Linked DNA regions of Oryzias latipes. The protein of the gene in region 1 binds, or shares a complex with, the protein of each later gene. Links are inferred from orthologs where the notes say so. Each region holds a gene or a part of one and is shown on either strand. Other genes may lie near its edges.

What was found.
Region 2: gtf2e2 (region 1) and polr2b share a complex: the UniProt entries of both Homo sapiens proteins name them as parts of the TBP-based Pol II pre-initiation complex. The link is inferred for Oryzias latipes from reciprocal best matches to the Homo sapiens genes GTF2E2 and POLR2B.

What each region holds. Positions count from the first base shown.
Region 1 is NC_019859.2:11,937,264-11,941,213, forward strand, and holds the start of gtf2e2 (transcription initiation factor IIE subunit beta), read left to right. Parts: upstream 1-1,150; 5' UTR 1,151-1,372; intron 1,373-2,061; 5' UTR 2,062-2,066; coding exon 2,067-2,226; intron 2,227-3,020; exon of another isoform or gene 3,021-3,671; coding exon of another isoform or gene 3,672-3,950. Other genes in the region: smim18 (small integral membrane protein 18), read right to left, coding at 3,672-3,950. UniProt on the Homo sapiens protein: Recruits TFIIH to the initiation complex and stimulates the RNA polymerase II C-terminal domain kinase and DNA-dependent ATPase activities of TFIIH. Both TFIIH and TFIIE are required for promoter clearance by RNA polymerase.
Region 2 is NC_019868.2:3,851,943-3,855,905, reverse strand, and holds the start of polr2b (DNA-directed RNA polymerase II subunit RPB2), read left to right. Parts: upstream 1-1,163; 5' UTR 1,164-1,279; coding exon 1,280-1,298; intron 1,299-2,408; coding exon 2,409-2,481; intron 2,482-2,782; coding exon 2,783-2,933; intron 2,934-3,963. UniProt on the Homo sapiens protein: Catalytic core component of RNA polymerase II (Pol II), a DNA-dependent RNA polymerase which synthesizes mRNA precursors and many functional non-coding RNAs using the four ribonucleoside triphosphates as substrates.

The DNA of each region.
Region 1 (3,950 bases):
CTCCAAACTGTCACTGTGTCAGAGTTACACTGCGTTACATAACTTTATTACTTATAAAGTTATGACTCGTAATCAATTATTACTTATAGCGTTCTTTGTAAGACCTACAGAAGTAGAGGAAGTGACAAGGTACTGTCAAGCATTTCACTCTAAGACAAATGGCGATAAGCTTTAATAATCATTAAGTGAAAGTACAGGAAGCAGAATCACAGCTTTTTGTTGTTAAAATAAAACTATGAGTCATCTACCTAAATGGATAACAGAGTGACAGGAGAACCGTAGGGGTCTGTTTACCTCAGGAAAAGTGGAGCTGTCTATTAAATAATGATTCCAATCACCACACTTTGTCAAAAATAACTGATCAGATACATTTTTTTCTTCAAGAAAAAAAAAAAAAAAAAGATAAACACATTTGTTCAAGAAATCAAAAGTTAAATTATTGTTTCTAAGCTAAAAGTGATGAACCATGAGTTTATAAAGATATTTTTAGCAGAGTTTTTTTGTTCATGTGTTCTCGTCTCATTACTAAGTATGTAATGACTTTAATGTCATAGTAATGCTTTACACCCCTTTAGAACTGCAAAAGGTATGCTATCGTAATGTATTTTGTAACTACGTGCTGTAGGCTCCTCTACAGTAAAAAGAAAAAAAAAGGCTTTAAATTAAAAATATTATTCAAAAATAAATCCTGGAACTTTATTAACATTTCACTTAAGTGTTTCATCTTTTAACAAGAAATGAGATTAAACTTTATTGGTCAAAGCACAAAATTTGGCAAAGAAAACTTGTAAAGATTATGTTTATAATCGAAATGGCAATCACACCACAATGCAAAACAGAACATATTACAGTCAGGTGTTGGAAATAATACTTTTAATGTCTTATTACAAACTGTTGGTTATAATAATATCCAATAATTTTCAGTTTAAAAACTGAAAATGTTGGGGGAGAAACATTTGCTGAAACTATTTAATTGTTTTTAAACGTTCCGGCAAGAATTAAAAACTGTGAAACAGAACACTCATTATTTTAGCTATAGTTTCAGAATCCCTAACCAAAATAGCTCTCTTGCCTGAAATAAGTTGACTGTCCTCCAGTCCAGTAGGTGGCGATGTTGAGCTACACAGCTGCGGGTTTTTGCTTGCACGCGGAAGACGTCACCCAAGGAATAACATACGATAACGATAACCGACAACTCGAACACTAAACGAAACAGTTACATGATGGATACAAAAATAATACTTTTTTATTAGAAAGTAAGCTTGAGTTTACTTAAGCTTAAAATTGTCTTTCTATTTCACTTTTTAGTTTATAAATTAGTCTATCGGGACTTATTCGCCACTTTCTGGAAAGAAGAACTCAACAGTAGCAGGTAACGTTGACATGCTAACACTAGGATTAGCATCACATTAGGTGTTAGACAATGCGGGAACATTAATTAGCGGTTATGTGGGTCATGCTGTCACGGGATTCGGTTCTTTGGGGAAACTGGACTCTAAAGGTTCATCTCGATGACTTTTAGCTGCTTATATGAAGTTTTTTTTTTCCCGATAAACTGAAGAAGAAGCTAATCGGACAAACAGCGAACTTCTGTTATATATATGTTTAAATATGTTTTGAGTTGAGTTTTTAGTCCACTGTTTCTGTATTAAGTGTATTTCTTTGGTCACTGTTAATGTAGTAATTCCATGTCTTTGGCCCATATTGTCAGTAGAAGAACCGAACACAATTATTTTTGGCACAAATGGAACACCGTAGTTTTGAAGAACAGAATCCTGTCGTGTCAAGACAATGTTTTAACATCAAATCTAGTTACTAATAATAATCCTTATGCTCTACTTAATATTTGAAGAAAAAATAGTAAAACAGCTGCATCACTGATTAGATTGAGAAAAGAACCAGGTAAACATACCAGGTATAATAGATATGCATGGAGATGATGCACCTCACTGTTTCAGTATTATATTTATTTCATAAATTATATTTAATTTAAACGTTTGAAGCTTAGTAAAACTGCATTTTATCCAGCCTTTTCTGTGTTTACATGCTTTTGTCCACCAGCCTGGATGGATCCAGCTCTGCTTCGCGAGAGGGAGCTGTTTAAGAAAAGAGCTCTCTCCACGCCGGCTGTTGAGAAGAGACCAGCTGCATCAGACTCTGGATCCCACAAGAAGAAGAAGCCCAAGTTAGACAAGGAAGGCTCCTCTGGCTCCAAACACAGCACTGGTAGGTCATGCTTTATATCTGGTTACTGAGCTTCTCCTGGACGTGCCACAAGCTGCTCCGCTCCATTCTGATAAACCCACTTGCAGACAAATGGATCCATGTACGTCTTTGTTTTCCTCGCCTGGGCTGCCATCTGGCGTAAACCTTAAGTTTGCTCACCAATGTTGGGTTGGGTGTGTGAGAGGCTGTAAGCTTATGAGAGAGGATATGCAGAGAGCTCAGTAATGGATGACTGGAAGGGGGGGTAGGGTTGCTCCTTACAGCGCCGCTGGTCCCACTCGCAACTCAGGTGAAATTCCAATGAACTACTGCCACCCTGCAGAAACTATGTCCTAGAAAAACGACCCAGATTTTTTTAATTTTTAGCTAAAAATGACCTTCTCCTAAGTAAAAGACCAATGGAAACGCTTTCACAATAGATCAAAATATGATCGGAGGGGGTCTTTGAGTGAAACTGGCAGATTATTTTTAAGGATTATGTTTTCTTTCTTTTGTTTGGTTTAAATGTTGTTGTTTTTTAATGGATGGATGATGTAACACCTAGGCAATCAAAACTCATTCATCTGTCACTCATAGGTTATTCTGAGTCAAATATTTGAATAATTACGAAAAGCAAAGTGGTCAAAATTCTGCTGTCATTGCTTTTTTTTAAAGGTGTGCACAGATCAAAAAATGACTTCTAACATTTTTATAGTAAATATAAATAAAGCCTAAAAGAATTCTTTGGATGAAAGGACTGATTCATAAGAATCATGAAATATAGAGAAAGAAAATTCAAACTCTTTAACCAAACTTTTTGTTAGATCTCATTTTTATTGATTTTCTTTAGTCTTTTTATGTTTGTCTTCATGAAAATGCCAACATACCACATTGACCAACAGCCGTCCAACGCTAGATTTTATCACTTCATTTAGTTGCTTTTGGAAAATAAACGTCTTCATCTGTTAAAAAAGTTTCAGAAATGTCAGATTTTCCACCTGGTAACATGAGAGTGGCAGCTGATTTCTATACATCCACTACAAACAATTACAACTTTCGGCTCGCCTTAACATCCATTTAAATGAATCATGTTTATTTATAACAATTCTTTTTTATCATACCACAATGTTTTTAACCCAAAAGAAAAGATTTCCATCAACTTTTATCGGGTTTGTGGGAAGCCAAACGAAAACCTTTATTGTGTCTACAAATTCACGACTGTGTGTTTACCATAGAAGAACGGCAAAAAAACACAAAACTAAACAAAGATGACATGAGTCTTTAAAGCCCTAACTCGGCAAACGTTTCTGTGTACAGAATACTCTGGAACATTGATTCATTTTTTTCTTTGCCTCTGAATTGGATGCATGCAAATAGACAGTCTATGGTATCAGGGGTGCTTGTTTTGGCAATAAATTGGGCATCCCAACCCCAAACTCTTCCATTTTCCTTTGTCTGTGCTGCTGCTATACCACCTCCGTGTGGCTCTCCAGCTCCTTGCATGTTCTCGTCATGAGATTGCTGCAGCTTCCCGACCTTTCTTGCTGCAACTGGTGGCGCGTTTTCCCTTTGGCGCAGCAGCCGCAGTCCAGTAACTCGTAGAGAACGGCCAGAGCGGCCAGGGACAGAACGGTGAGGATGAAGAGCAGGAGGATGACGAAGCAGGCGACGTTCCAACCGTCGTGGAAGGGGTAGACTTCCTGTACCTGCAGGGAAACGTGGGACATGGGGATGGCCTCGGGGAG
Region 2 (3,963 bases), on another chromosome or scaffold:
AAAGCTGCAACAATAGGACCGTTTGTGATGACTAAGCTTTTCCTCATCAAAGACTCCATTCACTGATGGTACAGAAAATAGATCGTTATAAAACTCTGGTTTTACATAAAATTCCCAACAGTACTAGAAAAAATAAAATCTCATTTTTAGACAATCTTTCAATCAATAGAAGAGTTTCTGCTTTTCCCTCCACTATGTAGCAGAGGGTTGTAACACTTACAGGCTACGTCTGTTTCAGATGGATCTGGATTTATACGTTATTTGGGTTCTACCATCTTCTTTTTTACAGAAACACCTTAAAACCTCTGATAGTGAACTTAAATAATGTTAGGAAAACGGATCAGATGTAAAACCTGCTGCATCTCTGCTCATGTTTTACTAAAAGCTTCACTTTCTGGATGTTTGTCAATTTGTTCAAATTTACTGTTAATTTTAATCAAACATACTTAAAATCCTTTCAAAAAAGTCCTGTGACTTCATTATTTTCTAATCAACACAGAGGAAAGGCTTCCGGCAGGAAGTGAAGTCCACTTGGCCTCTTGTTAAACTGCAGTGATTATTTTTTTATAGTTAATTTTATGATTCATTTTAAGTATTGAAATCATGGAATTATACAATAAAGAACAGAAATCCAAAATTTAAACAGATTAAATCCATTTCAGATAAAAAGTAATAATTGATAAGAAAAAAGATGTAATGAGATGATGCTATCATATTGACAGTGTGTTTATTCATAATTATAAATAGATGCTTTGCATTAATGCATACAGAACACATGCACGTTACATTAGACCATTAAGATGCACTACCAAGCGTCATTGATTATCAACAAAAACATTAGTTATAAGTTCACACATCCTTATATTTGGGATTTACATGAACACAAAATGACCTGTAAGTCCTCTCATCTCCATATTGAGAAACAAAAGTTTCCTTCTACAATTTCTTGAATTTATGGATATTTAAACATTGTAAGTTGAACACTGATTGAAGGGAAAACCTAATGATATTAGAGTAAAATGTTAAGTATCTATAGTTAGCTTTGATGTCTGATTTATTATTGTTACATTTGTTTTACTAACTGCACTTCGCACACTGCTGTTCTTGGCCTCAACCGCAGGGGGCGCTGTCACAGCAGATGACCGCCAAACACCGGAAACCCCGCAGAAAAAGAAGAAGTGTTTCCGGGTCTCTGTGTCAGGCTGCGCGCCGCTTCTCCGTGTTTTTGTCTTCTTTTTTCTGAAGCCGTCTTTGTTTTGAGGGATTTTCGGAAGCCATCATGTACGACCAGGACGAAGGTGAGGCGCGGATTCCACGCAGCGCCGTTAGAGCTGCGCGTGAACGCTCACGCATGGCGAACGTCTCCTCCATCCATGATCATGATGTTCCATGTTGTTCAACCAAAACCTGTCTGAAGCTTCTTTGCATGCAGCAAGTTTCTGGAACCGGACTTTCTGTAGTTGAACAGACTCTTAAAACCGAGACGCACGTAGTAACCAGGGGGGAAAAACACGCGTGGAAAACGAGCAGACTAGGAAACACGCAAATAACTTTAGTCAGTCCGGCTGGGGGGAAACATTAGCACTTTGTCGCGATATTTTGAAGTATTTTATGCCAAACCAGAAATGTTTGTTCACCAATATGGTCATCATTGAATAGTTGGAGAATTGAAGAAGAAGAAGACTGTTTTCTGGGAATGGGCCCACCACCCTCCCTGGTCAGTGGGATGCTGTGGGAGGTGACTGCCGTGCAGGAGCAGCGCCGCTCCACAGCAGCAGGAGCAGCAGCTGAGTGGCTTTAACATCTGTTCAGTCTGTTTGTTAACCTGTAAACACGCTCACTGATTCTGGTTAAGTGACTGTCCGAATAATCCAAATCTACAATTCCAAAATCCAGATCGCTAGAAATTTCCCAGAAGTCTCTGCGAAAAACCAGTGTGCCTTGATGGTCACTTGATTGGTGAATTTGGACCACAATGCATTGCGTTTGAACAATTTTTCATTTGAAAAAAAAGTATTTAAAGGAATTTCTATTAACCATCATCATGATGATGATGATGGTCATCATCAAACATGTTCAGATTTACGTCATAAAATGTCATATTTGCCATAAAAGAAAAGCAGTAAACATGGCTTTAATTGGCTTTAATAACCAGGGCAATAGATAGTTTTTTAAGTAGTTAGGATGTAGAGAAGGAATATGAACATAAACCCTCACTCCCTCTGTCATGATAACACAGTCATATACAAACAAACCTTTATTTGCAGTCCAGACCGATGACGGACACCCACCAAACTAACTAGAGCGTAACCCTAAGGAACCAACAGCTCAGTGTTGATGACCAGCTGCTGTCAGTTACCTTTAATGTCTTAGTGTGGATGTGGCCTCATCATTTCTGTGTCTGTTAGATAACCAGTATGATGAAGACGATGATGAAATCACCCCAGATCTGTGGCAGGAAGCATGCTGGATCGTCATCAGGTAAGCTCACCTGTCAGGCCCACTGTGACAAAACATGAGTGGGTTTCTGCTGCCGCACACGCAGCAGTCACGCAGTCACCAGAGCGTTCTGCATCAGAAACCCAAACTGCTGTTTAGATAGAGTTCAATAAAAAACAAAGGAAAAGTTGAACCTTTTTCTGATCATCTTTTACACTTTAAGCCTCTTCAGTCATCTCTTTTAATCATCGGTTCTGTGAGTTTCTGGTGCAGGATGTGACGCAGACGGTTCTGATCCGCTGCAGCTCTCCGAGCTCTTCCTGAACTGCTGTCTGTTCTGCAGCTCGTACTTCGATGAGAAGGGTTTGGTGCGGCAGCAGCTGGACTCCTTCGATGAGTTCATCCAGATGTCCGTGCAGAGGATTGTGGAGGACGCGCCTCCCATCGACCTGCAGGCTGAAGCACAGCACACGTCAGGGGAGGTGGAGGAGCCGGTGAGTCTGCGTTGGCTGGTTTGGGCTGCAGGTCCTTCAGTTTTAGTAGGAGCTTCTGATTTTTATGCCACATCAGGGCTCCAGACTAACTTTTTTCACTAGGAGCACTGTGGCCCCTAACTGAAAATTCTAGGGGCGCATACCGTAAATCAACATGCTAACCAAATCTATTCATTTCCACTGTATTACTAATAAATACTTTAATAATAGATGCAGAAATTAAAATGTGCTGTTTCAAATTCAGTGTCACATTTTATTCTTCACTTTTGAAGATGCAACAAGAAGGTAAACTGACAGCACCATCGCTGTCATGACAGTACAAATAGTAAAGAAAACAGATGGAAATTTATCTTTGTGACACCAAATAGGTGCAGCCAAGATGCACAATAAGTGTGTTTGAGATCACCCAGGTGAACTCAACGCTGCACAGATCACCTGGTGTGAGACATATATTTTTGTTTTTGCTCCAACATCAACTGTCAATCATCACAAAAATATCGCGAGAAAGGGGTGGGAGCAAGGGGCAAACCTACCCGGACACAGCTGGAAACTAGAGACTACAAAACAATGCATTATGGGACATGTGTCCTGATGGTTTTTGTAGTGGAGTGATTAATTAAAATAATTTAAAATACCAATTCATTAAAAAGGCTACATACATCACAAAACATTAAAATAATCATAAAATATATAATAACACAGATCATACTAAGGGGGAGAAGAATATTAAAACTAAATTGAATGTTAAGGACAACTCCAACTGTTGTCCTTCAGTCTTGCTGCAGATTCGCCTTCATCTCACAGTGCCCCCCCCCCCCCCCCCCCCCCCCCCCCCCCCCCCCGCCTGGTCTCCCTAACGATCCAGGCGAGGTGCCGGTTCATCTCAAACACGTCTATCGTTGCATTTTCCCCACGTATTTTCAGTGTGTCTAAAACTAATCTTGTTTTTGCTCGAGCGTGTTTAAAGTTCAAGCCCCGTTAGCTGTCACGCATGTAGGTGTGGGACATTTATTCTCCTCAGCTGACCCGA